Elephas maximus indicus: one gene and its partner. The protein of the gene in region 1 interacts with the protein of each later gene in a pairwise test. Links are inferred from orthologs where the notes say so. Each region holds a gene or a part of one and is shown on either strand. Other genes may lie near its edges.

Region 1 (16,288 bases):
ACTACTATTCAACATGGCACTGAAAGTCCTAGTCAGTGCATTAAGGCAAGAAAAGAAATTAAAGGCACATAGATCAGAAGGAATAAATAAAACTGTCTCTATTTGCAGGGAACTTGATGGTATACATAGAAAAATCCCAAGGAATCTAAAATATCTATATCTATCTATATACATCTATACATCTATATATATATATATATTTCTTGCACTAATTAATGAGTTCAGCAAGGTCACAGAATACAAGATCAACACACAAAAATCAATTACATTTCTATATAATGGACACTGAAATGAAAAATACCATTTACAGTCGCTCAGAAAATGAAACAGGTGTAAATCTAACAAAACATGTGCAGCACTTGTATGCTGAAAGCTACAAAACGCTGATGAAAGAAATCGAATATCAGAATAAGTGGGGGGACATACCATGTTCATGGGGTAGAAGACTCAATATTGTAAAGATATCAATTCTCCCCAAACTAATATTAATATAATGCAACTCTTCTCAAAATCCCAGAAAGATATTTTATAGATAAAGACAAAATTATTCTAGAATATATGTGAAAAGATAAAGGAAGTTGAATAGCTAAAGCTATTTTGAAAAAAAAAAAAAGAATACAGTGGGAGCAATTAGCCTACCCTTTTCAAGACTCACAGAGCTTCGGTAACCAGGCCTGCATGCTATTGAAGGGATAGACATAGATCAGTGGAACAGAACGGAAAGCCCAGAAACAGCCACACGAGTATGGCCAACTAATTTTTGACTAACAGGCAAAAGTAATTCAATGAAGGTAGAATAATCTTTTTAACAAATGAAGCTGGAGCAAGGGATGTATATTGAAATAAATGGTATCTTTGATTCAATAAAATACAGTATTTTTTGTCACCTTGAAGACTAAGGTGTGCCTGACCGAAGCCATGGTGTTTTCAATCCCTCATATGCACGTGAAAGCTGGACGATGAATAAAGAAGACCGAAGAAGAACTGATGCCTTTGCATTGTGGTATTGGTGAACAATACTGAATTTACCATGGACTGCCAAAAGAACAAACAAATCTGTCTTGGAAGGTCAACCAGAATGCTCCTTAGAAGTGAGGATGGTGAGATTATGTCTTACATACTTCGGACATGTTATCAGGAGGGATCAATCCCTGGAGAAGGACATCACGCTTGGTAAAGTAGAGGGTCAGAGAAAAAGAGGAAGACCCTCAATGAGATGGATTGACACAGTGGCTGCAACAATGGGCTCAAGCATGCCAACTGTAGTGAGGGTGGTGCAGGACCGGGCAGTGTTTCATTCTGTTATACACAGGGTCGCTATAAATCAGAACTGACTCGACAGCACCTAACAACAACAACAATTATGTGCTAGACACTGTTCTAGGCAGTCGGGATATTTTGCTGTTGTAAGCTGATGTTGAGTTGACCCCAATTCTCGATGGCCTCATGTATAACAGAACAGAACCTTGTCCAGTTCTGTGCCATCTTCATGATTATTGATATGTTTGAGTTCCTGGTTTTGGCCATTGTGTCAGTCCGTCTCATTGAGGAACAGTGAACAGAGCCAAGTCCCTGCTTTTCTGGTGCTGGCATTCTTGTGGCTGTGATCCCTCGGAGGAGCCCCGGGTGCTGAAGAAGGAATGTGGGCACCTAAGGTCAAGGATGGAGTGGAAGTCAGTGCCAGAAAAGGAATGCAGGGGCATTAACCTTCACTCTGGCTGGGTCCCCTTCCTTTTCTCAAAGACAGCCTGGTGGAAGGTCACAGGCTTTCACTGCAGACAGACCTGTGTTCCATTTCCCATCTGTGTCCCCAACTGGCTGCTCATCCATCAACGATCAATGTCAAGATCAATATGTCCTCCCTTCGGCAGGTTGTCGTGAGGTTCATGTGAGTGGGTACATGTAAAATGGCTCAGGGTGGGGCCTGGCACATGTTAGAGTCATGATTCCGCTCCCTGGTGGAAGCATGAAAAGATTCTGGGAAGAAGGACAGAGAGGTGCTGGGGGCAGGACAGGGCTGAACGAGCAGAGAAGGAAAGAGCCCTTACTCCATCCCAGCAGGCAGGGGGGCACCTGGACCAACACCTTAGGAGATGGGGGAGGTTGGCCAGTTTCTGCCAGCCTGCATGACACATTCCTAGTTTTATGCTTGAAGTGATAGAGGCAGAGAGGCCAAGAGCCGGAGTCTTTGTGCTGGAAGGGCCTTGAGAGCTCCTTGGCCAAGGCCCCTGGTCTGCAGGGAGCTGCATGACCAGCAGAGCAGGGCAAGAACGCAGAGCCTTGGGAGTCAGGCCAAGCAAAGATAAAGCCAGGCATCACCACTTCCTGCCTTTGTAACCTTGGTAAGATTGCCTAACCTTCCTGAGGCCCAGTTTCCTCACCTGAAAAATGGGAACAGTGTAGGTCAGACATCAAGGTTGCTGCGAGGATTAGGGGTGATGCAAATCAGGGCCTGGCACAGTAAGGGCTGCACAGAAAGTGAAATGTGTCAGATGCAGATGGTTAGAAACCTGTGGCCTTGAGCACAGTGCCTCACCACTCTGCAGAAATGAGATCATAATTCCTGGCCCACTGAGTCATGGGGAGAATTAGAAATAATACAGCTAAAGGACTAGTGACAGGTATGGCACATACCAGTTGCCATCCGGTCAATTCCAATTCATGGCAGAGTAGAACTGTGTTCCACAGGGTTTTCAATGGCTGATTTTTTGGAAAGTTGTCATGGATTGAATTGTGTCCCCCCAAAATATGTGTCAATTTGGTTAGACCGTGATTCCCAGTATTATGTGGTTGTCCTCTATGTTATGATTGATGTAATTTTCCCATGTATTGTAAATCCAGTATCGTTAATATCACATGCAAACAAAATTTTGCTGAAGATCATTCAAAAGCGGCTGCAGCAGTATATCAACAGAGAACTGCCAGAAACTCAGGCCAGTTTCAGAAGAGGATGTGGAACCAGGGATATCATTGCTGATGTCAGAGGGATCCTGGCTGAAAGCAGAGAATACCAGAAGGATGTTTACCTGCGTTTTATTGACTATGCAAAGGCATTCAACTGTGTGGATCATAACAAATTATGGATAACATTGCGAAGAATGGAAATTCCAGAGCACTGAAATGTACTCATGAGAAAACTGCACACAGATCAAGAAGCAGTTGTTCGGACAGAACACGGGGAATTTGAGTGAAGGCAGTGGTTTTGGTGGGTAGAGTCAGGAAAGGTGTGCGTCAGGGTTGTATTCTTTCACCATACCTATTTAACCTGTATGCTGAGCAAATAATCCGAGATGCGGGACTATATGAAGCAGGACGGGGCATCAGGATTGGAGGAAGACTCATTAACAACCTGCGTTAAGCAGATGACACAAACTGGCTTGCTGAAAGTGAAGAGGACTTGAAGCACTTACTGATGAAGATCAAAGACCACAGCCTTCAGTATGGATTGCGCCTCAACATAAAGAAAACAAAAATCCTTACAACTGGACCAATATGTAACATCATGATAAACAGAGAAAAGATTGAAGTTGTCAAGGATTTCATTTTACTTGGATCCACAATCAACACCCATGGAAGCAGCAGTCAAGAAATGAAAAGACGCATTGCCTTAGGCAAATCTGCCACAAAGAACATCTTTAAAGTGTTGGAAAGCAAAGATGTCACCTTGAAGACTAAGTCGCCCCTGACCCAACCTATGGCCTTTTCACTCACATCATATGCATGTGAAAGCTGGGCAGTTAATAAGGAAGACGGAAGAAGAATTGATGCCTTTGAATTGTGCTGTTGGCGAAGAATATTGACTATACCATGGACTGCCAAAACAATGAACAAATCTGTCTTGGAAGAAGTAAAACAGAATGCTCCTTAGAAGCAAGGATGGCGAGACTGCAACTTACATACTTTGGACATGTTGTCAGGAGGGATCAGTCCCTGGAGAAGGACATCATGCTTGGCAGAGTACAGGGTCAGCGGAAAAGAGGAAGACCCTCAGTGAGGTGGATGGACTCAGTGGCTGGAACAATGGGCTCAAGCATAACAACGATTGTGAGGATGGAGCAGGGCCAGGCAGTGTTTCGTTCTGTTATGTACGGGGTGGCTATGAATTGGAACCGACTAGATGGGACCTAATGACAACAACAATTGTAAATCCTAATCTCTAACTGTGGTTCAGGAGGCAAGACTAGATTATGTTGTAGAGGATTAGGGTGGGATGTAATACTCTTGCTCAGGTCACATCCCTGATCCAATGTAAAGGGAGTTTCCCTGGGGTGTGGCCTGAACCACTTTTTATCTTACAGGAGATAAAGGAAAGGGAAGTGAGCAGAGAATTGGGGACCTCATACCACCAAGAAAGCAGCGCTATGAGCAGGCTGTGTCCTTTGGGCCTGGAATTCCTGTGTGGAGAAGCTCCTAGTCCAGGGGAAGATCGATGACAAGGACCTTCCTCCGGAGCTGACAGAGAAGGAATGCCTTCCTCTGGAGCTGACACCCTGAATTTGGACTTGTAGCCTACTAGACTGTGAGAGAATAAACTTCAGTTTGTCGAAGCCTTCCACTTGTGGTCCTTCTGTTATTTCAGCAGGAGCTAAGACAGAAGTAGATCACCAGGTTTTTTTCCCGAGGCACCTCTGGGTGAACTCGAACCTCCAACCTCTTAGTTAGCAGCAAAGCATATTAACCATTGTGCCACCTGGGTGTTTAATAACAAACCAAAAAACCAAACCCATTGCTGTTGAGTTGATTCCAACTCATGGAAACCCCACATGTTACAGAGTAGAACTGTTCCATGGGGTGTTCTTTGCAGTAATCTTTATGAAAGCAGATCACTAGGACTTTCTTCTGCAGAGACACAGGGTGGATTTGAACCGCCAACTTTTAGATTATCAGCTGAGTGCAAACCGTCTGTGCCACCCAGAGACTTCATTTAATAATCAAAAACCTAGCCAAATCTGTTGACATCAAGCCAATTTCAACTCCTAGTGACCCTATACGGCAGAGTAGAAATGCCCCATAAATTTTCCAAAGAGTGGCTGGTGAATTCGAACTGCCGACCTTTTGGTTAGCAGCTGAGCTTTTAACCCCTGTGCCACCAGGGCTCTGTTTAATAACGAACCCCCCCAAAACCCAAACCTGTTGCTGTCGATTCTGACTCATAGTGACGTTATAGGACAGAGTAGAACTGCCGCTTAGGGTTTCCAAGGAACGGCTGTGGATTTGAATTGCCAACCTTTTGGTTAGCAGCCAAACACTTAACCACTGCACCACCAGGACTCCCTGATAACCAGGGGGCGTTTAATAGACAGTGCCAGGCACTTAGTAGGCATTCGGTTTGCTGATGAACAGCTAAATGAATGAATCTTACTGAAGGAATGGCTAGGCCATCTATTCTTAACACAACCGCACTACCTTCATTCTTAGAGTCTCTGGGAGTGTTTACGGACCCTGATTTCTTTCCCCAGGATGATACTGGGCCAGTCACAGTGCCTGGACATTAGCTCAGTGCTCAGTGGCCTGGCCCTAAATGCCCAGAGGGCATTGAGCAACCCTCAAAACACCTTCACTTCCTCCTGGTGAGGGGCTGGGCTGGTAATTCTGCATTTGGCAGGAAAAGGGGCCCCTTCCTCCAGGTTCTGACTTGGGTTCTCAGCCAGTTGCGCACATGGACAGGAGAGGGTCCCCAGCCCCAAGGCCCCCTTGAGGCTCTGAGAGGGTTAATGCCTCCTGAAAGGTAACAGCCATGCTGGGCTCTCAAGGATCCTCTCAGGAGGCTGCCCTCAGAGGACGCACCCATAGGTCAAATGCTGAGCTGCAAACAGCCATGATATTCAGTCACAAGTGTTTAGTGAACACCTACTATGTACCAAGCACTGTTCCAGGCCCTGGGGTGCAACCAAGACACGGAGAATCCAGACTAGCTAGGAGACAGACATTTATATACACACATAGTGACAAACTGGCAAATTTCAAGGGCAAAACCCAAAATGCTCTGTGGGAGAATAGGAGCACCTTTTAGAAGGAGGAATCAGGCACGTCCACTGGAGGAAGCTATGTTGAAGCCGAAATACTTAAATTTGCACTGACAAGCCACTTATCCTTCGCCAGGCACTGTTCAGAAAGCTTTACATGTGTTAGGTCATATAATCCTCATACCAATCCCATGAGATAAGTATGGTTATCATCTTCATATCACAGACGAGGAAACTGAGGCACGAAGATGAAGGAACTCATCCAGGGTTGCACAACTAGGTGTGCGGAGCCAAGATTTGAACGCAGGCCATCTGGCTACACAGTCTTTGCTCTTAGGCACCATCCCTGCTACCGAGGCATCTCCCAGGACAGGATGGGGGTCATAATGGGGAGACAATACCAGAGAGGGGAGCTGCCCAGGGAGATTCTAAGACCCAGAAGTTCCTGAACCTTTTCTAGGAACTGAAAGAAGACCTGGTGGTCTGCTGTAAGGGGAGTTAGGGGAGAGAAGGCCCAGGTGAGGATGGAGGTGTCAGTAGCAACGAGATTATGCAAAGATAAATCCACAAAGTCTCTGCAAATAGCCACAGACGTGCATGGTTTGTTAATACATTGCAGCATCGTTTATGATGCTGAAAATTTGCAAACAGGCCCCACATCCAACAGTAGGGAGTATCTGTGTGATGATGAAGTCATCGGAGATGCTGGAGTGGGTGGTACCCCGCACCCCTCCCCCAGGCCCATCTGCCTCTTGTTTCACTGATCTCGACCCCTGCCCACCCCAGAGCCCACTGCCCCTGCCCTGCCCTGCATGGCTGAGTGCAGGTCTGCAGAGAGGCTCTGCCTCAGAAATGCAGCTGCTTCCCCCAAGACTATGGGTGTGCATGTGTGCATGTATGTGTGTGCGTGTGTGTGTGTGTGTGTGTGTGTGCAGAAAGAGGACAGAGGCTCCCCCATGTTATACTTAAAGAAATGTTTATAAACCTGGCTTTCATTGGCTCCTATGGAATAGCAAATAACAAGACCTTGCTCTCTGGGTCCTCCTCTGTCTGGTCACTCCTGCTTGGTCTCTGGTGGAGCACACCAGGGCTCATTCCTTGGACTTCTCTCTTCTCCATCCACACTCATCCCTAGGCGACTTCTCCATGCCGACATCTCAGAGGTTTCGTTTCCAGCATGGTCTTCTGTCTCGAACTCCAGAATCATAGGTCCAATCCCTCTACAGAATGTCTCTGCACTACTCGAATGAACATTTCCCAGTGGACATGGCCAGGACCAACTCCTGATCTCCCCACTGCCCTCAGCCTGCCCTCTGCCAGCCTCCCCCAGCCCAGGTGATGGCAGTTCCATCCTTCCAGGTGCTCAGGCCCTGAACTTTGGAGTCGCCCTGGTTCCTCTCTTTTGCTTTCGCCCACATCCAACCCCTGGAGAAGGACATCATGCTGGGTAAAGTAGAGGGTCGGCGAGAAAGAGGAAGACCCTCAATGAGATGGATTGACACAGTGGCTGCAACAATGGGCTCAAGCATAGCAACAGTTGTGAGGATGGTGCAGGACCAGGCAGTGTTTCATTCTGTTGTGCACGGGGTCGCTATCAGTGGGAACTGACTTGATGGCACCTAACAACAGCAATATCCAACTCACCTGCGAACGCTATTGTCTGTACCTTCACGATATGTCCAGAATCTGACCACTTCTCTTCCTTCCCTGCCACCACCCTGGCCTGAGCCGCTATCATCTCTCCCTGGTCTCCCCACTTCCTCCTCTGCCCCCTATGGTCTACTCTCACACAGCAACCAGAGTGATTGTGTTTAAAGAGGCCAGATCATGTTCTTCCTCTGAACAAAACTCCCCCAAGGCTCCCCATGTCACTTCAAGTAGAAGCCAAAGTCCTTACAAGGCCCCCAAGGCCCTATATGATCTGTTCCCTCATCTGTTCCTGCTGCTCACCCCTCCCTCATCCTCATTCCCCCCCAGTCACAGTGACCTTCTTACTCTTCCTGGAACCCACCAGACATGTCCTTGTCTCAGGACACGCACTGGTTGCACTGGCTGTTCCCTCTACCTGGAACATTCTTTCCCAAATATTCACATTGTCACCTCCCTCAAGTCTTTGCTCAAATGTCACCTACCCTGACCACCCTATTTAAAATTGCAGTCTCCCCTTTACCGTGCATCCCTGATAACCCTAACTCTGCTCCATTTTTCCTTAACTGTGACCTCCTAACATAATGTATAACCCACGTATTATATTTATTGCCTACTGACTGTCTCTTTGCATTAGAAAATAAATTCCATGAAGACAAGGATCTTTGTTTTATTTATTTAATTTGCTGTGTATCCCCAGCACCTGAGAGGGTGCCTGGCAAACAGCAAAAACAAACAAATCCATTGCTGTCAAGTCGATTCCAACTCATGGTGACCTTATAGGACAGAGTAGTACTGCCCCACAGAGCTTCCAAGGAGCTCCTAGCGGCTTCAAACTGCTAGACTTTACCAGGGTTTCCTGGCAAAGAGTAGGTACTCAATAAATATTTGTTGGATTAACAAAATTGCTTTTGGTTTGTCCTCCTTGTGGCTTATCCACAGCCGATGTAAACCCCAAACTGCCATAGGAAAAAAATAAACTACCCAGGAGACCTAAGACTTGGTGGCATTTAAGCCGTCCCCCTTGCTGTGTTACCACGGGAATGTCAAGGCCCCTCTCTGTGCCTGGGTCTCCCCATCTAGAGAATGAGGACTGGATTTGGCGTTCCCTGAGGGTCCTCTTAACTCTGACAATTGACAGCTCCCTCCAGCCACCTTCCATTAGAAGCTCAAACCACCTTGAATTCTATGGCCAGCCAAAGAACTTTCCTTTATTAAGATTTCCTGTGTGCAAGCAGTTGTGTGGACACATCAGGGCAGGAGGTCTGGCCGCATTATCTCTTGGTAAAGAAAATGGGCTTCGAGCGTCGAGAAGGGGGTTTGGAAGCTGGACCCTGCACTTTCTGGGCTGTGGAACCTTAAAGACTAATTTAGCCTCTCTGAGCCTTTATGGCTCGTCTATAAACTGAGCTTCATGATAGGACCTGCCTCAGAGGCACGTTAGCATGAAGCTGGATTTGAATTCAGACTTGCCCATTCCCAAAGTCAGACTCTTCTTCACTAAGGCAAACTCTCTGCTTTGAAGCCAAAGCAAACAAAATACAACATCCCCAACCCTCAGAACACTCTACGCCCCTTCCAGGTCCCGAATACACCCCCCACTGAGTGCTCCCTGTTGGGGCCTGTCCAGCCCTCCTCACCCAACACCCCATTGGCAGACAGAGCCCGACACCAAAGGCCCAGGTGCAACCACAGCTCTGTGGCTGAGTGAGTGTTCCCGTGGCAGGCGTGGTCCCCTCCTGTTCTGTCTAGTCTGACACCCAGAGGCCCCAGCAAGTGGCAGGCATCCTGGAGTGTGCAGGCCAGCTCTCCCGTGCACTGGCCATGGAATCTTGGGCAAGCAGTTTTCCTCTCTGAGCCTCAATTTTTCCTTCTGTAAAATGGGTGATAATAATACGTACATATATACTTTGTGCTGCAGTGAGGAGTAGATACAATAAAGTCTGAAAAGCACTCTCGACATGAACAGGCAGCTGAAAAATCTCACACTCTAGAGCCAGACGTCTTTAGTTGAAATCCTGGCTCTAGGGCTTTCTAGCTATGTAGTGTCTCCACACCTCAGTTTCTTCTTCTGTGAAGTGGGAATAATAATGGCACTTGCCTCAGAGAGTTGCTGTGAGGATGAAACAAAGGGATAATAACAGTGCCTACTTCATAAGCTTGTTGTAACGAGTTATTCCAGGCAAAGTGCACAGACAGCGCCTGGCACATGGGACACACTCAAGAAGGAGGTGCTGTCATGTTGGTACCCAGCCTGGGGAGACTTGTCCCAAGCCTGGCTGGTCTTTGAATGTGTAGCCTGAGCTGTGACCTCTCACCTAAAATCTCCCACCCTCCCTACTTGTATCTCCTTCTTTTCTCTAATGCCCTTGTTTGGTTCAGGGAGGCGAGGTTGGGTGGATCCAGGTGGTCATGGACCCCCAGCTGGGACGGGGCCATGGGTATGAGGGCTTCCTCACTTGGAAGTAAGCCCCCCGGAGCCCTCAATGCTTCCCAGGGCACTGAGTGAGCTAGCTGCCCCGCCCCTGATCCTGGCATTGAACCCCAAGCCTCCTGAGGGGCAGGCCCAGGACAGAGGACAGCTGAGAGCATCTGCCCAGGACGTGAACAGGGAGGGGCTGAGCTGCTGGCCTCCACCACAGGCGCTGACTCATGGCCCCTGCTGGATGGTATAAAGGAACCTGCCCAGAGGCTTCCTGCAGCCGGAGGGAGGAGCTGGCGGGGCAATGGCTCAGGCACCAGTGATCCGTGTGGCCCCAGAGCAGCCCACCCATGGTGTGTGTGTGCTGGGCACTGAGTCTCGGGTCGACGTCTTCAGGTGAGAGGGGGGCTGTGGGCAGGCCTGGGAATGCTGGGCGAGGCTGCCCTGTTGATGCAGGAATGTGTGGTTGGCTCAGGCTTCAGGTGCAAGCTTTGGTAGCCACAACCAGGGGAGCAGCTGGGAGAGATAAGACCTAAGGGGCCCTGGGAGGTGCCCAGGCTCACGGCAGTGGACTCTTTGCCCTGTACGAGTATGAGTTCCTGTGGGCCTCACCACAGAGAATTATTATGAGTCAATCAGGGCCTGTCTTCTCTCACTGTCGAAGCAACAGAAGCTCAGAAAGGGTCTGTGGCTTGCCTAACTTCACACAGCAAGTATGCCCTGGAAGCAAGGCTAGAACCTGGGCCTCCTGAAATGTACCTGGTTCAAGGTACATTTTGTTACCCCACACCACTCAGCAAAGCATAATAGTGTGGGCCTGATGAGATGGCTCTGGCACGGGACAGACCGAGGTGGGGAACCTGGCCCTGCTGTTGGCTAGCTGGGCAACTGAGCCTCATTTCCTCATCTGTGAAATGGGATGATAATACCCAATTCATAGGGTGCTTGTAGGGATTAAACGTGGGAAAAAAAAATGTGAAAACGTTTATTGAGCACTTAGCCAGGGCTAGGTACATGTCAAGTAGTAGTTTTTTCATTCACTCAACAAGAGCCGACTACGTGCCAAGCCATGTGCCAGACTCTGGGGAAAACAAGATGGTAAAAGAATGTTCTCAGGGAGTGCATATGGTTGTTATGGTTACAGTTGTTGTCAGTAAAAGTAATGGCAGCCCTGGTTCCTCCATCCCAGCCAGGAACATTTCCTTGAAAGTACCACTCACTGCCTGTACCCGGGGAGTGTGAGAACAGCAGCAAATATCTGCATGGCCTCCGAGGGCCACAGAGGGGAACGGGAGAACGAAAAGGTTGAAGAATAAAAGAAAAAGAGCCTGATGTCATTTGAGGCCACAAACTGCTCTGAGGATGAGATGCTTGGTGGTGGATACAGAGGAAATGAAAGGGGCCGGAGCTAGCCCAGGCCCCTGGCAGCATTACCAGGCTAGCCCTCTACCCTACATGGGGCCGGGCAGCACTGAGCAGCAGTGGGCTAAGGTCACAAGTGCTTCTTCTGGCTCTGGAGATGGGGACAGAGAGATGGCCAGGGATGGGCCAAGAGGGAGGCACTGCCCACTTCTCCCCAGAAAGAAGGGGAACCCCACAGTTCACAGGTGCCTCAAAATCCTCTTTTCTCCTCCTCCAGATGGCCATGAGCCCTGTCAATTCTATCCCCTAAATATCTCTCATAAGAATAGCTAATATTTACATTGTATTTCCTACATATAACTCATTCAACCCTAACCCTAACCCTAACCCCCTGCCCTGTCTCCTGGGCTACCAACTATGGGTGCATTTCAGTGGGGTGCTCTGGTAGAAGAAGAGGTTCTAGATGAGATCCCAATTCCACCACTCCTGAGCTGTGTGACCAGGTGACCGTGGTCAGGGTGCCTTGGGGCCTCAGTTTTCTTATCTGTAAAATGGGGAGAGTGGTGCCTGCTTTGGAATGCTGCCGTGAATGTTCAATGAAGCAACACGTCTAAAGGGCCAGAACATAGTTGCCCTCAACCAATAGTGCATGCGTTCTCTCCAGCCTCAGTTTCTTCATCTATAAAAAGAAACAATAAAGGTACCTTCATCACAGAGTTGTCATGGAGCTGTACATAAAGTAGTTTACACAGTGCCTAGCACAGAATATATAATAAATGGCAGCTATGGCTATGGGGCAGTTCTGCTCTGTCCTATAGGGTCACTGTGAGTCAAAATTGACTCGACGACAACGGGTTTGGTTTTTTTTTTTTTTTAACTGCAATGACTGGAGTCCTGGTGGCACAGTGGCTAAGCATTCGGTTACTAACCAAAAGATCTGCAGTTCGAGTCCACCAGTCACTCCTTGGAAACCCTGTGGGGCAGTTCTCTGTCCTTAGACTCGCTGAGTCAGAATCACCTTGATGGCAATGGATTTGGTTTTTATTTTGGGTTGCAATGATTGGAGTCCCTGGGTGGTGCAAACAGTTAACATACTCAGCTGCTAACCAGAAGGTTGGAGGATCGAGTCTACCCAAAGATACTTCCAAAGAAAGGCCTGTTGATCTACTTCAGAAAAATCAGCCAGTGGAAACCCTGTGGTTGTAGGAATTGTTGAATGGGAAACTGTTTTTCTGTATATCCTTTCACCAAAAATACAATAAGACATTAAAAAAACAAAACAAAACCAAAACCCTACGGAGCACAGTTCTGTTCTGACTTACATAGGGTCACCATCAGTCGGAACCAACTCAACCACAACTATGTTTTGTTTTGTTTTTTCTAAACTGGTTTATGGCCATGATTGTTTCTGTCACTCGTAATACATCACTGTGTCTATTACAGGAATTCATGCTTTCTTGTCCATGCTTACTCGGGTCATAAGTGGCGAGAATAAGATTCAAACCCAGGTCTGCCTGTTTCCTGCTTGTCTCCATAGCCCCTCTAATCCGGACCCCAACTTCCCTTATCCCCACCTACTCCAGGAACTACAGCCCTGAATTATTCAAGGGACCTTCAAGACTCCTACTTCCTGTCTCTCCCAGCTCCACATTTCTTTCGCGCGGCTCTGAACCTTCTCTTCCACTGACAATTCGATCGTGCCACTCCCTTTCGCCAGAACGTACCCCAGCTCCCCATTGCCCACCATATTGAATCTCAACTCCTGTTGGCCTGAATGCTTTGATTCTCTGCTTCTGCTCCCTGCTCCACTGCCTCCCTGCTTCATTACCTCTCGGTCCCTCAAGTAAGACTAATGCATTCCTCTCCTCCAGCCCAGGAAGTCTGTTGACTCCAGGCTGATTTCTCCCAACTCTGTGGCTTTAAATAGCAATAACAACCCACACCCAGGTGTGGTGCTCTCTTTATCCCACCCTGTGTGTCACTTCATATTTCCCTCAGACTCCAGTCAAGTTCAAGGTAATGCAACAAACTTGTATCAGCATCTTCTAGGGCAGAGTTCTCACAATCCTGCATGCATCAGAATCAAGTGGAATGCTCCTTTAAACCAGGGCTTAGAACCAGTTCGGTCAGGTTGGAACCCCTGCTGAGAACTTGCATTTCTAACAAGTTTCCAGGCAATGCTAAAGATGCTGGTTAGGAACCAATTCTGAGAACCATTAGTAGAGCAGTGGTTCTCAAAATTTGTCATACCTAAGAATCACCTGCGGATCTTGTTAAAATACAGATTCCGATTCAGTATATCTGGGGTGGAAATGCAAATTCTCAGCAGGTGCTGGAACTGGAATGAACCAGTTTGAAGCCCTGGCTAAAACACAGATTGCTGGGACTCAGCTCCACAGTTTCTGATTCAGTAGGTCTTGGTGGGACTCCAATTCCCAGGTGACGCTGATGCTGCTGCTCTGGGGACCAAGCTTTGGGAACCACTGAGCTCTGGTTTAAGAGCTCAGGCTGTTCACCAAAAGGTCTGCAGTTTGAATCCACCATCTGCTCCTTGAAAACCATATGGGGCAGTTCTACTCTGTCCTATAGGGTATCTATGAGTCGGAATCAACTCGATAGCAAAGGGTTTGAATTTTTTTTCTTTGGTTTTGGCCTGCGGAAGAGCACAGTGCTGGTACAGCAGAGTGGGGGCGAGTGCAGACAAGGAAGGCAGCCACAGTATGGTGGACATGACCTCAGGCTTGGCTGCAGGCAGGCCCAGACCTGCCATTATCAGCCGTGTGGCCTGGGCAAGTCACTTCGCCCGTCTGAGTCTCGGTTTCCTCATCTGTAAAGTAGGAGTAACGACACCCCCCCCCATAGGGTGGCTGTGAAAATAGGGGTTAATGGTCACATTGAGAAAGGTGACCAACTGGCCACATGCTGCAGGCTTCACCTTAGTGAAAGTCAGAACTTGGGCAATGCCATGCTTATGACACATTGGCAGTGTCAACACAGGTGACAAAGATTCCAACTGCCGGAATTCCTGAAGGGAGGAGGCAGAGGACACTGTGGCTGCTGGTTGGAAGCTAATGTTTTAATTAGACTTCCCCATGACTTCTCTGATTTTAGCTAAGAATAAACTTTTCTATATTGTCACCTTTTGCTGTTCATATCCTCATGACAGGCAAACATTGGCATGGCTGACTTTTAAAAATTTTCTAGAACGTGTCACTTGCTTTTTCTTTTTTCTTATGAGGGAATTGGTTTTGGTTCCAGTGGTTTTTAATTACCGGCCACCTTTCAGGAACCAAGGCATCATGTCAGTTGAGAGCAGGACTTTCTCAAAGGTGGAGAGAGAGAACTGCTGTCGAGAGAAGCACAGAGAGCAAGGGTGTATGAGTTTCCTATGGCTTCTATAACAAATTACTACAAACCTGGTGGCTTAAAACAACACAAATGTATTATCTTAACGTTTGGAGATCAAAAGTCTGAAAATGAGCTTCACAGAGGTATTGGCAGGGCTGCGTTCCTTCTGGAGACGCTAAGGAGAACCCATTCCTTACCTTTTCCAGCTTCTAGAGGCCACCCACATTCCTTGGCTGATGGTTCCTTCCATCAATCACATTCCAATCTCTGCTTCCACCATTGCATCTCCTTCTCTGACTCTGAGCTTCTTTCCTCCCTCTTGTAAGGACCGTTGTGATCACACTGAACCGACCTCTGATAATCCAGGACAATGTCCTCATCAAAGGGCTGGGTTGGATCCTGAGAAAAGGAAATGAGAGCAGAATAGCATTCCACGTGAAGGACAGACAATAAGCAAAGGCTGCAAGATGAAAGCGTTTCAGCAGGTGTGGGGAACTGTGAGTGAACCTACCTGATGGCAGAGTGAGGAAAACATGGTGGGGGACAGTGGAAATACAGGAGGCTCTTGGACCAAGAAGCAACATGCCTAGAGCTAAGCTTCGGCAAGCGACTCTGCTTCTACGTGCCTCAATTTCCTCTTCTGTAAAATGGAGATAATAATATACCTACAGGGTATAGGGTGGTGATGGGAACTGAATAAGTTAATTCATGAAAAGAACTTGAACACTGCCTGGCACAAAGAAATAAATCAATGCTCTATACGTGTTCATTTGTTAAAATTTAAGAACTTGAAATTGACTTTATGCTGACAGAATGAGGGTCCAAGCCAGGGAGGACAGCAGACGAAATAAAATCAGGGGAAGGGAGGGGAAAAAAAAAGTGTGAGGAAAAGAGTTTTTCTTTTTTTATCTACTTTGGCTTTCTTTGGTTCTTCAGAACATACTTTAAAAACTTCTCCCCTGAAGGCAAAACATTAAAATATTAGTAATTGTCTCTAAGTGGCAAGACCCCATTTTCTTCTAGGAAAGGGTTTTGTCCTGTAGTAGTTGTCTGGGAGGTAGTGGCTCAGTGGTAGAATTCTCTCATCTTCCATGCAGGAGACTCAGTTACGATTCCAGCCAGTGCACCTCATGGCAGCCACCACCTGTCTGTCATTGGAGGCCTGCATGCTGCTATGATGCTGAACAGGCTTTAGTGGAGCTTCCAGACTGGATGGATTAGGAAGAAAGGCCTGGCAATCTACCTCCAAAAATCAGCCAATGAAAAACCCTGCAGATCACAAAGGTCCAGTCCACAACGGATCGTGCATATGGCAGAGGACTCTGCAGTGTTTTTCATTCCTTTGTGCATGGGGCCCCCATAAGCCACCTTACTAAGTCCTTACTATTTCTTTTTTTTCTTTTGTCTGTAGATTCTTCTAGGTTTTGCAGACAATCATACTATCTGCAAATATTGGCCATTTTTCTTACTTTTCAATCTATACCTTTTCTTTTTCTTCTCTTGCTGGAGGAGCTGGAATCTGCTGTACACCGTTGAAACCGTG
Region 2 (16,148 bases), on another chromosome or scaffold:
TCCAGCCCCATGGTCAGCTTAATCTCCCAGTACTGCCTATTCTGGCTGATTCCCCACGTTTAACCCATTATACAGTATAACAAGAAGCCTTCGTGGTGCAATGGTTTGGCGCTTGGCTGCTAACTGAAAAGTTACAGCGGTTCGGACACACCCAGCGTCTCCATGGGAGAGAGATCTGGTGATCTGTTTCCATAAAGATTACATCCAAGAAAGCCCTATGAGGCAGTTCTACTCTGTCACATGGGGTTGCTTTGAGTCAGAATCAACTCAATGGTACACAACAACAACATACAATATAACAGAGTGGTAGAACACGACATGCAGAATCAGACTGCCAAGTTCAAATCCTGACTCTACTACTTGCTGGTATGCAACCTTGAGCAAATTATTTAACTCCTTTGTACCTCAGTTTCCTTATTTATACAATGCAGATGATAATAATAACACCCACTCATATGGGTGAAAATAACATGCCAGGCGCTTGGCATAGCCAGGCTCATGATTATTTAATACCTGCGGCATGGAGGTTCTAGCACGCAGAGAAGCAGAGCCCTCATAAACTAAGCCACGGCTGGGGTGATGAATGGGATCCAGGCCCCTCAGCGCCCATGACCTGCTATCACTGCTAGAACTTTCTTAGATAAAGGGCCCTGCCCCAGCAGGTCTATCTAGTTGACAGGTCCTGACTTATCCCACCTACTTCCACTGTCTGCTTCTGCAGCTAAAGTAATGCTGGAATCAATCAGACCATTTAACAGAGCTTTCCCCACCATCTAATTCAACGCTCCTTACGTTCTTTTGGAGCTCTGATGGCACAATGGTTAAGAGCTCGGCTGCTAACCAAAATGATGGCAGTCTGAATCCACCAGCCACTCCTTGGAAACCCTATAGGGCAGTTCTACTCTCTCCTATAGGGTTCCTATGAGTCGGAATTAACTCGATGGCAACAGGTTTGGTTTTCTGATTCGGTTACATTCTTTTTGGAACAAGCTGAGGTACGCCAATGAATAAATACCCCAACTGAAATGTGTGGCAAGAATGAGCAGCTGCTATCTCATCTCATTAGAAGCAGAAGCAAAACTACACCTGTTAACTCTTTATATGCAAATAAGAAACTATATGATCACATACTAATTTTAAGGTTGGAGGATTTGATAATTATACATTCCTCATTTCTGTCTTATTTTCTCTCTTGACAAGCAATTTAAATGAGCGTGTGGCTATCTGCAGCTCTCTATTTAAAAAATTAATAGATAATAAAACAAACATGATAAAAATTCAAATAGTACAAAAACATACATAATGATAAATCTGTAAGACGTTACCCCACGCCCCCCAAAACAACCACTGCTAGAATTTTTCTGTGTATCCTTCCAGAAGTATTTCATGTATAAATAAGCATATAAAAATATATACATAGCCTCTATCATTTTTATATACATAAATGATAGCATATCATGCAAAGCTTTTTTAAAAAAACAATTTATCTCAAATATGATTCAAAAAAAAAATTTTTTTTTTTTTTTTTTATGATTCAGTATCAGTTCCTAGGAATTTGCACCATTTTTTCACAGCTGCATAATATTGTGTTTCATGGACGAATCGACTGGACCGTAACAGGCTGCTGGTAGATATTTAGGTTCCTTCTAATGTTTTGCTACTATAAGCAAGGCTGCAACGTACACACCCTTGTAAACATCTACACCCACGTCCAAGTGTATCTACAGGATAAACACCTAGAATTGAAATTGCTGAAACAAAGGGAAATGCATTTTATAAAAACTGTGATCAGCGCTGCCAAATTTCAGGACTCCTAACACGGTGTCTATGTTGTTCCTTGGTATCCATGATTGGGTTTGGGGGGTGTCTGTGAACCCCTTGAAACTACATGAAACCATAACATGTATGTTGTTTATTTAATTTTGAAAGACGATCCATAGCTGTAATCAGATTCTCAAAAAAGTCTGTGATTCTAACAAGGGTGAGGACCACTGAGTTCAAAAGTATCAAAAAAGCAGCAAAAATAGAAGCTGAAGCTAAGCAGGTCCCAGAAAATGCCTGCCTAGGGAAGATGCTGAAGACTGATTACACCACCAGGCTTCTATCTATAAAGGACCTCCTTCAAGGCAGACGGCTCAATTACAAGAAATTCAGGAGAATTTGTTCCTGAGTAAACACAAGGTCCCTCTAAGTTAGCTTTTGGTAATAATTTAATATATTACCTTTCCAGCAGAGTGAGTGAGCTAACTCAGAGGGATGAAGACACGGTGACTGAGCAAGAGGCCTTTCTGATGACTTGACAAAGGCCCACTCAGGGTGCCTGCCACTGGGTTCCATGTCACACTGCTCATGCTCTGTGTTGTCTCTAGGCCTTAACGGTTCCGGGGGGAAATGGAAGGTCTTTTCCATAGTCGTCTGCGGTCTGGACATCAGCTGCAATTTATCCCTGCTGCTGACTGCTGGTATAACAGTCACTCTGGTTTGTGTGTCAAGCCCTCTGGACCAAGAAGCAGTACGGTAATTCATTGGTCTCAAACAACTTGAAACGTTAAAAAGAATTCTTCAAAGGTGGTGTTTCAGGTTCCCATAGCAAAAGCTCTCAGTCCTGTTCAGACACAACCAAACACTAACAAGTAACTCCCGATAAAACCAAGAGCAGGCCTTAGATAGAAATCCTAAATCCCTAGGGAAATTAATCTTAATGTAGTAATCCATTTCAGTTTCAATTCAGTTAAAAAAACAAATTAAAAAACCTTTAGCAGGGCTCCCTATTGGTCTATAGATGTTAAGCACTGTAAAATTATGAGGTGTGTTATGGATTGAATTGTGTCCCTCAAAAATATCTGTAAATTTGGCTGGGTCATGATTCCCTTTTATGATTGTATGATTGTCTACCATTTTATCGCCTGATGTGACTTCCCTAGGTGTTGTAAATCCCATCACTATGATGTAATAAAATGGATTAGTGGCAGTTACATTGATGAGGTCTATAAGATTAAAAAAAAGATAGCGTCTTAAGCCAATCTCTTTTGAGATATAAAAGAGAGAAGTGAGCAGAGAGACAAGGGACCTCACATTGCCAAGAAAGTAGCCCCGGGAGCAGAGCGCTTCCTTTGGACCTGAAGTTCCTCCACTGAGATGCTCCCAGACCAAGGGAAGACTTCAGAGACATCACAAGCACCTTCCTTCAAAGCCAACAGAGAAAGAAAGCTTTCCCCTGGAGCCGGCGCTCTGAAATCAGACTTCCAGCCTACTGGACTGTGAGAGAATAAACTTCCCTTTGTTAAAGCCATCCACTTGTGGTATATCTATTATAGCAGCACTAGATGACCAAGACAAGGTGAGTCTGAGCCAGCTAAATATGCATGTTCCTGGGTCCCCCTCCAGTCACACAATATCAGAATTTGGGGGGATGAGGCAAAAATTTGCATTTTGGACATGCAGGGGGGATTTTGATGCATCCTGAAGTTTGGGAGCTATGGGCTTATAAGTCATCTTAGTATAACTTTCTACCCGTCACAGCCAGCCTCTTTCTAGACACCTCTTGTGAGAGAGCTCTCGAAGACTCCAAGGCCACATCAAAAGCCACTTCCTTAAATTCAATAAGAACCCACGATCCAAAAATCTCCTACCCAATGTGTCTAGCTCTCCCCACCGAAGCCATACAGAGTGAATTTATTTCTCTGTCCACATGCCAAGCCCCTCAAGAATTTAGGGTTCCAATGAGTCGGAATCAACTCGACGGCAAGGGGTACCGTGTGCCACTACACCCACTGTAGTATTCTCTTTCCCATCTAAATAGCTCCAGTTCGTTTAACCACATCTCACGTGTCAGTGTTTCATCTACCTGCTTAGGCTGAGGCTTGATAAGATCAAAGTTGAAGGGGAAAAGAAAAACATTTGATCAAGATTTAGTTAATCAGCTGGTAAGCACAAATCTAAACCCCAAGGCCCTATGAACCAAGCACTGATGGGGCCACAGTAGAGCAGCGAGGATAAGAGTACAGGCTTTAGCACCAAGCATTTGGATTTGAGCCTCAGTTTATACATGATCTGACCTTGACAAATGACCACAGCTTGGGCCTTGGGTTCCTCATCTGCAAAACAAGGTTAACGATGCTGCCTCAGGTTGAAGTGAGAATGACCGTTATCAGAAGTTCCTTCAGGGAGGACACTGCACTACTTATCAAACTGGTGTCCACAAGTAGCCCTAATTGCAGTGAAAACAAATCCTCAAGGGCTAGGTTTAAGCCAAACTGCAAAAATTCTTTGCAGTTTCTGGTTTTATGTTAAAAAGGTATACAAATTTTAGATTCAGCGCCAAAATGTATCTGTGATAGTTTTAATACAAAGGTATCGTTATCTTCAACAATTTCGGCAAAACTGACACCCAGGAAAATGCTCCCTTGTTTCAGGTCCTCCCTGGCACACTGCCTACCATCCCCAGGGCCTCTGTGGGAGAAGAGCAGGCTTAGTCTACAAGCTCCTTAGGTGAGCAAGATCAGAAAAACAAATGAGTGGCTGGACATAAGCAAAGGAACGCTAGCTACGTGACATGAGTCTGGGGATGACCAGGAGGCTCACCTTCCAAATGCCGAGGCTGGTGTGGCCCAATTTTTCTGTGCACTTTACTCCGTAAATTGCTTTCATAGAAAAATTAAAAAAGCAACAACATTTAGGAGGGAAAATTCATAGATGCCCTTGATCCAGTAAGGGTGTGTGTATCCCCAGATTAATAGAAATCCGACCTGAGCTGAATGCCCGGGATCCAGCCTTGGCCAGATAGGGCTCTGGAAAGTAAGCAGGTCTCACTCAGCCACAGGGTGGGGTCCTCTTTCCTGCCCCCTTCCTCTCCTGTTTTTCACCTCTCTATTGTCTAAGAATTCCCTGGCTACTTTTAAGAACTAGTGCTTGGCTATCAACAGAGTAACTTGCAATGTCAGGGGACGTGGGAGTCCTGGAATTGATGGCCCTTGGAATGGATAATTTGGAGGAGGGGGCCCTATCCATCCTTCCTACTGTCAGCTCCAGGGGGCACAAGTCCTTTCAGTTCTCCATTTTTCTTGAAAGGCGTGGGTTACTCAGAACTCAAAATGTTCAAAACAACTCACAGGAGATTTGCATCAACTTGGGCAACACTTAAAGCCAGGCAGACGGTTGAAAAGCAATAGCCTCTTGGGCTCCAAAGCCTCCAGCTGGTCAAAGCCATGACCAAAGAGCCAGAGTCCGGGGCCTCCCAACAAAGAAAGATTCTCAAGTGCCAGGCACTGTTACAGGTATCAGATACGTGAGGAAAGACAGGGGAAAGAAACTAGGAAAAATGGGTAGAGTTTTTTAAAAGGAGGAAAGAAGGAATTAAAAAGTAAAACTTAGACGTTAGCCTGCGGCAGATCCAGAGAATACGAATTGAATCTTTTCTTTTTAATGTCCGAGCCCAGCACGCTGTGTGGTACATGTGCATAAATAACTGCGGTGGGCCCTAACTGGGCATATAAAGTGCTCTCGACACCTTTCTTGCTGCCACCTGTGGGTACAGTCCGTGTTTGTCCCCCCCTTGCCCACTAGCAGCGCGTCCCGGGCCCAATGTGGACGCCCCAATCCCGCCCGCAAGTCCGCGGGGCGATCGGGCCGCGCTGGGCAACCCCTCCTGGGCGCGGCGCTGGGCTGCACATCTCCGCGACGCGCTCTCGGGCCGCGGCACCCCGTCTCCAAGCCCAGAACACCCCCACCCCCGGCCGGCCACCCCTTACCGCTCGGTGCCGAAAGGGGCTGAGCTCGTCCTCTGAGGCCGAGGAGGTCACACCCTTGTCAGGGCCGGGCAACGGGTCTTATCCCCGCCGGACCCGCCCCACTTCGGGGTGGAGACTGAGCCCGAGTTCCTGGTTGTCCCTCTGCTCACGGGACCGGAAAATCCCTCCCAGGCCGAAGCGCACCTGGAGCCTCGGACCTCGAGTGCGCGCCTGGCGCGGTGGGAGCGTGGCCTCGCCTCCGGGCGTGGGTCTGGAGCTGACGGCGGCCACTTCCCCGTGCGGGCTCCTCGTCTCGTTCTCCTTCCCGGGCCGCCCAGCACCTTTTCTCCGCACGGAGTCGAGGAAGTTTGACTTTTCGGTGTTCGGTGCCTGGGCGCCCCACACCGTCCACCGGCCGCGCACGCGCGGCCTCCCCCGCTCCTCGCCAACCGGCCGCGCCCAGCTCAGCCTGGGGCTGGTGTGTCGCCGTAAATCAAAGCTTCTTTCCTGGGAAACCGCGGTGTCTGTCTCGCCCGTAGGCTCACGGCGGAAAAGTGGAGAGCGAAATCACAATGGCACATTTCATTTCACTCTTTCACATTAAAACAAACATTCCAAAAAGTTTCTAGCAGTTCCACATCAGAAGGAAAGAGACTTTTCTTATGTGCCCAGCAGGCGGAGGAAATCTTTGGGAAGGAGAGGTAGGAGCTAACCCGGATCTTCTCTCTCTCTCTTCACCTATAAACCAGTATGATTTAGCACTTGTCGGGAGTCCCTGGTGGCACGAACAGTTAAGCACTGGACTACTAGCCTAGTCTAAAGTTTGGCGGTTCGAACCCATCCAGAGGCGCATAGGAAGAGAGGCCTTTCCATCTGTTTCCAAAAGGTCACAGTCTTGAAAATGCTATGGAGCGGTTCTACTTTGCACACATGGTTATGGTCATGAGACCCAATGACTTAGGGCGACTAACAACAATACTGGTGCGTAGCTCCCCTTTTCTGCGTTAGTGCAGCGCGCGCCCTTAGTAATACGAATACAGTCTGTATCTGCTTCCTCTACCCGGGGCAAGCTCCTTGAGGGTACGGACTGGGTCTGGGTTACTTTTGCACCCGCGCCGATTACAGTTGCAGGCGCATAGTAGGTGCTCAGGGAAGGCTTGCAGAACGAGTCCATTGAGTCTACAAGCAAATTCCAATTTTATTTAACAAAGGATAGGTAGCTTTTGAGAGTGTGTTTGCTGTCCAACAGACCAAATTCGAAGTGGCTATTTGCCCCCTTAAAACCGGAGTGGTAGCATTAAATTATTCCATTAAGATGTAGCTAAAGGAGGTGGTTTAGCATGGTTTAGAAACATAGTTTTAGGATCAGACCGATTTGCATTCAAGATCTTTTATGTTTCAGCTTGGGCAAATAACTTAAAAGTTTCTCTGGGCCTCGGTTTATGAACTGACTTTGAAGAAACAAAATTCAAAGGGCAAGCAATAGAATAAAATGAAATAAGCATAATTCATTTCCTCAAAGAAATGAGAAACTTTTTTATCCCTTAAAAATAACAAAAACACTAAAAAAAAAAATGCAAGTTAGAGAATACAGCAGAGGCTGTTGGCACCCTGCTGACAGCGCCTTTACTAGGCAGGTGCACCCCCTCTCCCCAGCTAGTCCCTTCTCCTGAGAAAGGCCCTCAGATGAAGTTGGGGAGAGAACAGCCAGAGGCTAACATTTATAGTACACAAACAAAACTAGTTGTCCTTGAGTCAGTTCTGACTCATCGTGACCCCATGTACATCACAGTAGAACTGTGCTCCGTAGGGTTTTCAGTAGCCGATTTTTCAGACATAGATAACCAGGCCTTTCTTCTGGGGCACCTCTGGCACCTCTGGGAGGATTCAAACCTTTTGGTTAGCAGCTGAGCATTTACAAATAGCCAGGACTAAATTTGTAGGTCCTTCATACTCCAGAGCTCCTGTGGGATCAGACTGAGGCTAAACTTCAGCAGAAACCACATCTTGGCTCGGCTTCTTCCCCTGCACACTCCTACTTCCCTCATTTACTTAACAGGTTTCTCCTGAGAACACTCGCTCACTGAGACACTTGCTCAGGCTCCTGCTTCTGGGGAACACGATCTAAGGGTATTTTAAAAATTAATGTAATGGTTGAAATGAAAGACTCGAAGGAGCCTTTAAATTAAAGATAGCAGAATGAACCTATAAATTCACCTCAGTTCCCTCTAGAAATCCCATTAAGCAATAGCAGATTTTTTTAAAATATCTTGCAAGGACAAGGGAAAAAGAGAGGGGAAAATAACAAGATGTTGGAACCCAGAAAGCAGATGGACAGGTGATAACTGACTAGAAGACCCGAGAAAGCTAACTCCTAAGCCAGGAGTAGAGAAAGCGGAGAAGCAATGTGATTTGGCTGTAGAACTCCCCAAGATACGCAGGAATTTGCCGTAACGGGTACTTCTGAAAATGGGTTTATAGGTAAGACTGGGAATAGGAGGATTTGTTGTAAGTCTTTACAGAAACAGTCAGGCTCCTAGATTCCCTCCCCAACACTGCACAGCTGCCACTGCCCCCTCCTACTCCAGCAGGAGATGCAGGCGTAATCTCTAGACAGGATACAGAGATCTCTGGAATGGGGGTCACCAGGTGTAGTCAAGGCAGTCTGGCTTCTAAGACTGCCTGGCAACTTACCCCAAAACTCAATGACTTAAAACAGTACCCATTTTATTATACCTCACTATTTTTGGGCAGGGCTCAGCTGGGCAATTCTTCTGTCTCATATAGGGTATTCAGCGGGCACATGGGCTAGTCTGGAGGCTTCACTCACATGTCTGGGAACATGGCAGGGAAGCCTGGGAGGCTGGTCTCAGCTGGCATGGTCTAGTCAACCAGAGCACCTCTATGTTCCCTCTTCATCATGGCAGTCTTGGGGTAGGTAGTCAGATTTCCTACACAGAGGCTCAAGGCTCCCAGAAAGAAGATTCCAAGAGGCCCAAGCGGAAGCTACTAGGGTACTAGGCTTCTTACGGTCTAAGTCTGGAAACCCCTGAGCATTACTTCTGCCACATTCTGTAAGTCACGCAAGTCACTAAGGCCAGCCCAGATTCTAGGGAAGGGGAATTAGGTGCCATCCCTGAATGGGAGGTGTAGCAAATAATTTGTCTGTAATCTACCACACAAGGCTGGAGGAACTGTCCTGGAACTGAAGAGCCACAGGAAACTTAACATGAATTTTGAGCTGTTCAGTATTCTCCCTCCACTTGGCTCCCCGAACACTGGTAGCCAGGATTATACTTGCTCGAACGGGGAGTTTGGAATACTTTTTTCTGGGGAATCTGAGAGGAAAGACCTAAAGATGTTGTCATCAGTTACTCAACAATAGAGCCCTGGTGGCATAGTGGTTAATTACTACAGCTGCTAACCAAAAGGTCAGCAGTCCAAATCCGCCAGGCACTCCTTGGAAACTCTATGGGGCAGTTCTACTCTGTCTTGTAGGGTCGCTATGAGTCGGAACTGACTCCATGGCAACAGGTTTCAGAGCCCAGCTGGGACACCCCTTTAGTGAATTCACAGTTGTCAAGCCCTACCCACTTCAGACACACAGAGCTTCCAGCTAGGATTTTAGATTTCATTATTAGAACTGCCAGACAAAATATAGGATGCTCAGTTAAAGTTGAATTTCAGATAAACAACAAATTGGTTTTTTTTACTAAAATATGAAATGCTTACATACTAGAAGTATATTCTAAATATTGCGTGGGACATGCTTATACTAAAAACATTATTTGTCATTTATTTAAATTCACATTTAAGTGGATATCCCATTTTTCTTGTTTTGTTTTGCTAAATATGGCAACTCTACTCATTCTTCAATAAGAGCAAAACAGCCAAAGGTCATTGGAATTTAAGAGGAGAATCTGACATGAAAAATAGAACCCAAAACATATAACAGGAAAAAGGAGACTTGGGAAGAAACAATCTCTATGGGAAGATGAAAACCCTGCAAGATCTATTATTGGTCTCTTCTGAGAAATGAGTTGTTACAGCCATAAAAATAAAAACCCATTGCTGTCAAGTCGATTCTGACTCGTAGCAACCCTATAGGACAGAGTAGAACTGACCCACAGGGTTTCCAGGGAGCAGCTGGTGGATTCAAACTGCTGACCTTTTGGTTAGCAGCCAAGGCCTCAACCACTGTACCACCAGGGCCCCTAAAAATAGAATAGGATACTATAAAAAAGAATACTCAGAGAACCAAAAAGGGCTCTTTTAAGTTAAAAATATGATAGCAAAAACCAAAAAACTCAGTAAAGTTGTAGGAAGATAAAGTTGAGGAAATATCCCAGAAAGTATACGCAAAAGGGAAAAAGGTAAGAAAGGATTAGGAAATCAGAAAACCAACTCAAGGGGTCTGAGAAACAGAGGGGAAGAAATCAATTAAATAATTCAATTATATTCTTTTAGAACCAAAGGACATGCGTTTCCAGATTGAAAGTGCATGCTGAGCCCTCACAATGGACAAAAACGGAATCACACCAAGACACATCATGACAAAATTTCGGAAGACCAAGGACAAAGACAAGATCCCACACACATCCAGAGAGAAAACTGAGATTTCACACAAAAGATCAATAATTAAAATGGCAGGAGAAAAGTGGGATGCAGACCCCAAATTCTAGTAAAAAGACCAGACTTAGTGGTCTGACTGAGACTGGACGGAACCCCAGAGGTCATGTTCCCTGGACTCTTTGTTAGCCCAAAACTAAAACCATTCCTGAAGCCAACTCTTCAAAGATTAGACTGTACTGTTAAACAGAAAATGATACTGGTGAGGAGTGTGCTTCTTAACTCAAGTAGACACATGAGACTATGTGGGCAGCTCCTGTCTGGAGGAAAGATGAGAAGGCAGAGGGGGACAGGAGCTGGTTGAATGGACACAGGAAATACAGAGTAGAGAGAAGGAGTGTGCCGTCACATTGTAGGGAGAGCAACTAGGATTACATAACAATACGTTTATGTTTTTGTATGAGAAAGAGACTTGAATTGTAAACATTGGCTAAAAGCATAATAAAAAAAAGAATTAAAATGGCATCAGAAATGCAGTCCTATTACATGCTACAACATGGATGAAATGTGAAAATATTATGCTGAGTGCAAATAAGTCAGTTACAAAGGGGCAAATATTATATAATTCCACTTATATGAAATATCTAGGCTAGGCAAGCGTATAGAGACCAAAGTTTATTAGTGGTTGCCGGGGGCAGATAAGAGACAAGGGACAAGAGGGTCCCTTGTTAAGGATGATAGAAAATTTGAAACGGATAAAGCCAATGATTGAACAGCATGATAACTAATGTCAATGAATTGCACATGTGAAAAATGTTTACAAGGTAAGTGATTTGTTACATATATATTTGCCACAATTAAAAAAAAAAAAGACATCACATTTCTTAGCAGCAACAATTGAAACTGGAAGACAATAAAATAATGCCTTCATGATTCTGAAGGAAGATTATTTCCAACACAGATTCCCATACTCATCCAAACTGTCAGTCAAGGATGGGGGTAGAAGAAAGATATCTTCAGACACGCAAGGTCTCAAACAATTCATCTTTCTGTACCATTTCTTAAGAAGCTTTTAAATGATGTGCTCCAGCAAAACAAAGAAGCAAAGGAAGAAGGTTAAAAAAAGAAAGTGGATACCAGAATGGACAACTGGAAAATTGAATAGTGGGGAAGGTGGTTAGTTAACGCTATCTCATTGCCCTTGAGTAATCCCGACTCACAGTAACCCTACAGGACAGAGCAGAGCTGCCCCACAGTGTTTCATAGGCCGTAATCTTAATGGAAACAGATGGCCACAACTTTCTACATCAGAGTGGCTGGTGAGTTTGAACCACCGACCTTTTGGTTAGCAGCCAAGGGCTTAACCATTGCTCTACCAGGGCATACCTCTAATTACATTAATTGTATGTAAAATGTGCCCCAATTAAAAAAAGAAAAGACTCAAAATGATCAATAGCTATTGGTTGCCTCAAATCAGAATTTATTAAGCCAACATCTCATTATGTTATCAATAAGGCTTCCTAGTGGCATAATGGTTAAGAGTTCGGCTGCTAACCTAAAGGTCAGCAGTTCCAATCCACCAGCCGCTTCTTGGAAACCCTATGGTGCAGCTGCTATGAGTCGGAATTGACCCTATGGAAACAGGTTAACAGGTCAGTGTTTCTCACGGGTGTCAGTGTGCTGAATTCCTTGTGGTTTGTCCTGTGTCTCCAGGGTTTAAACATCAGCAGACTGAAACAGGATTGATGAAGGAGACCCTCAAGAAAAGAAGAGGTTCTTCGTGATCTTGATGACCACTAGGAAACTGTGAGCTGTTCCATTTGCTACAATTGCATGACAGGACGACAAAGTACTCAAAATCACGTAATAAAGATGCTGGATTAAACTAAACTGCTTTTCACTCACATGACCCCTGAGTCCCAACTTTCTCGCTTCTCCAGTTCAGTCCTCAGAGGTCTCTTTCCAAGGAGCTCTGGTGGCGCGGTGGTTAAGTACTCAGTTGCTAACTAAAAGGTCAGCGGTTCAAATTTACCAGCCGCTCCATGAGAGAAAGATATGGCAGTCTACTTCTGAAAAAATTACAGCTTTGGAGATCCTCTGGGGCAGTTCTTTGTCCTATAGGGTCGCTATGAGTCGGAATACCCTGGAAGGCAATGGGTTATTATTTATTTATTTTTAGTCCTTTTCCGGTATCTGGGTGAGGTTGCCATCTAGTGGCAGAAGAGGTAATCACACGGCCAAGAGAGGGATGAAAGACTAAACTCACCTTACTTTGCCTTCGTGGAGAACTCAGACGTCTCTTGGCAGAAGGTAATTCTCCACCTACGCATTTCCAGTGGTGGGTTAGTCACCCATCAACATCTAGAAAGGATCCTCTGAAAAGATGTTTTGAAGCTCAAGAGAATGAAGGAGCTCCTTTGAAGGAACACTCCGGTGACTCTCTGGCACTGCCCTCTCCCCTGGCCAGGGAGGCAAAATGATGACAGCAGAGAGCACAGGGCTGCAGTTAGCCCATACTCACTGATGCATCCAACACCCATCTGCCGGTTTGTCATACTGTGGTGCCTTGTGTGTTGCTGTGATGCTGGAAGCTATGCCACCAGTATTTCAAATTTCAGCAAGTCCACGGTGGGCAGGTTTCAGTGGAGCTTCCAGATTAAGACAGACTAGGAAGGAAGGCCTGGTGACATGCTCCTGAAAATTAGCCAATGAAAACCTTATGGATCACAACAGAGTACTGTCCAACTCACTTGCTTTGGACACATGATCAGGAGAGATCATTCACAGAAGGAGGACATCATGTTTGGTGAAGTAGAGGGCCAGGAAGGGTGAGGGAGACCCCCAGTGAGATAGACTGGCACAATAATTGCTGTGTAGGACTTGAACATACTGGCAATTGTAAGGATGACACAAGGCTGGGCAACCTTTTGTTCTGTTGTACATAAGGTCGCTATGAGTCGGAGTCAACTCAATGACAGCTATCTGTCTGTCTCACTGATGTATTTGTGCCAAATAGAAAAAGATACCTTTCAACTGGGTGCATGGCTTTGGTGAGTGGAGTGCAGACTGGATTTCAGTCCCCCTCTGCCTCTCTGTCAGGAGCTCTTGTGCAGTGAACAACCTGTACAACCAGAGACTGCAGCCCTGGTACAGCAATAGTACCTTCTCCTGGCACCTCAAATGCCCACCAAAAAAACCCAAACCCATTGCCATTGAGTCGATTACTACTCATAGCAACCTGTAGGACAGAGTAGAATTGCCCCATAGAGTTTCCAAGGAGTGGCTGGTGGATTTGAGCTGCCGACCTTTTGATTAGCAGCCATAGCTCACCGTAGCTCTTAACCACTGCTGCCACCAGGGCTCCCAAATGCCCACAGCAAACACTAATACCTAAAAGATGGCTTGGTGGAGGAGGAAGGGCACCCTTATTTGTATCTTGAAGGTGCTTGGGCAGCTATTGTTATGCACGAATTTCAGTTTTCTTTTCAATAGATACTATCAATTGTATCTTTCTTAGGTGTTGAAGGCCTCATTGCAGATGAAATGGAGAAAAGATTGGGGCCTTCTAGCGTAGTGTCTTTAGGAAAGTAGCATCACATTGTTTTGTCATGAAAGTCTACCGCATGGAATGGAACAAATCTAAAAGTTATAGGTAAAAGAGCTTAGGAAAATTTTCACTTTTAAATCCATGAACACCACTTTGGAAAACAGCTTGGCGGTTCCTCAAAGATTGAAACATGGAATTACCGTATGATCCAGCAATTCCACTCCTAGGTATATACCGTGAAAGCAGGGAGTCACACAGATACTTACTTGTACGCCAATAGTCACAGCAGCATTATTCACAATAGCAAAAAGGTGGAAGCAACGCAAGTATCCATCCACACATGAATGGATAAACAAAATGTGGCTTATACACACAATAGAATATTATTCAGTTACAAAAAGGGCTGACGTTCTGATACATGCTACACATGGGAGAGCCTTGAAAACATGCTAAGTGAAATAAGTCAGACACAAAAGGAGAAATATCAGATGATTCCAGTTACAGGAAATATCCAGAAAAGGCAAATGCATGGAGACAGAAAGTAGATTATAGGTTACCAGGGGCTAGGGGGCTGGACTGGGGGAATGGGAAATTACTGCTTAAGGGGTACAGAGTTTCCGTTTGGGGTGAAGAAAAAGTTTTGGAAATAAATACTAATTGTCAATGTAAGGAGCCCTGGTGGCACAGTGGTTAAGTGCTCAGCTGCTAACCAAAAAGTCAGCAGTTTGAATCCACTAGCTGCTCCTTGGAAACCCTATGGGGCAGTTTGTAGTTGGAATCCACTTGACAGCAGTTTTGGTCAGTGTAATTAATGCCACTGAATTGTACACTTAAAAATATTATATATGTAAACATAAATAAAAAATAAAATAGTCCACAGACCAACAGAAGAAGCATTGAACGAAGACAGTGAAGATATTTATTCATTTAGCAAATGTTTCTTAAGCACTCTGTTTGACACACTGGGCTAGGAGGAGGGTATAATGGAGACTAGAAGAAGAGTCCCTCTGTGGGGCAGCCCCTCTCTTCCCCTACCTCTGTGCCCTACTCTTCCATGTTCACAGTTCAAAAGGCACGTCTTTAATGAGCCTACTTTCGTCTACAGTTAGGAGTTCCTTTATAGTATTACCGCAATTGTGCAGGTCAGAGCTACCTGCCGCAGATAGCCAGTTCCTAAGACAGGGGTGGGGTGAGTAGCAAGAGCTTTAATGTGTATCCATACACAAGAGACAGAGGGGAATGATCACCTCCAAAGCCTGCTTCCTCCAAATGGAGACTGGCTCAAATATTTATAGGGCAAAATCACCGGTTTCAGGAACTTGTGGAATGCCATTCTCTTCTGGGGTAGTTCCGGTGATCATGGTCCCAAGGTATCATCTCATCTGCCCAGAGGGTGACTGGTTTCCTGGGGTGATTTTGGCAGTCATAAGACTTTCTTAGATCATATCATTTGTTTTTACAGTCTGAAAAGGACGTTAGTCATTAGTAAAAATTCAACAAGGAAAAAGGAACTGAGCAGTCAAGAATAAGTTTAGAAGAAAGAAAAATGGCGTAGGTCCTGTTCATGTCACCGCTGAGCAGCCTGTTCCAATCCCCCCTTTTTGTTGTGAGTTTCCCAATCTTGGGAAACAGGGCATTGAGTCTCTCTAGCTGCTTCCTGTCGGATGGGGGCATAGAGGCCTAAAGGTTAGAGGAGTGGAACTCTACTGTTGTCTGAGCTAAACTATTATATCTCTCTTGTATCTTTATTGGCCCTTTATTGGGCTGTTGTCTCTCCTCTTGATGGCAGATGGGTTGAAATCCCTGATCAACCATCATTTGGAGCTGGAACTTTTGAATCCCTTGAAATGACTCTACCTTTCGGGGAGAAGGCGCCAACTCATTAAGGCATACACCAAGACACATAAGCTTGTCTAGAAAGAGGAACAATGCAAGCAAAGGTTAAAATAAAAATTAATCAAAGAGCTAAAGCAAAAAAATTCTTAATACCCCTATAGCACTTATTTTTATGATACTTGTTTACCAGTCTTTATCTCTTGAACAGCCACTTAAGTCCTTTAACTGGCTCACATATTCAAAAAGGCAAAAGTGGGAAGCGGACAAGCACGTTGCTAGATCCATGTCTGTCCAAACCCAAGGAATATTATTGAACAAGCAAGAATGGGAAAATGGATAAGCATGTTGCCACAGCCATGTCTGTCTGAGTCCTAAGAATATTAAAAAAAAAAAAAAGAATATATTAAATTACAGAGTACAAAATGGGCAAAAACGTTGAAAGTTTCACCTTTATCACACATTGGCTA

What was found.
Region 2: the proteins of protein-arginine deiminase type-4-like (region 1) and ANXA4 interact in binary tests that used the Homo sapiens proteins (3 or more experiments, as listed by UniProt). The two-hybrid records come from large-scale screens. The link is inferred for Elephas maximus indicus from reciprocal best matches to the Homo sapiens genes PADI4 and ANXA4.

What each region holds. Positions count from the first base shown.
Region 1 is NC_064821.1:56,593,178-56,609,465, forward strand, and holds the start of protein-arginine deiminase type-4-like, read left to right. Parts: upstream 1-10,308; 5' UTR 10,309-10,339; coding exon 10,340-10,431; intron 10,432-16,288. UniProt on the Homo sapiens protein: Catalyzes the citrullination/deimination of arginine residues of proteins such as histones, thereby playing a key role in histone code and regulation of stem cell maintenance.
Region 2 is NC_064835.1:66,489,396-66,505,543, forward strand, and holds the start of ANXA4 (annexin A4), read right to left. Parts: upstream 6,333-16,148; 5' UTR 5,934-6,332; intron 5,902-5,933; exon of another isoform or gene 5,751-5,901; intron 1-5,750. UniProt on the Homo sapiens protein: Calcium/phospholipid-binding protein which promotes membrane fusion and is involved in exocytosis.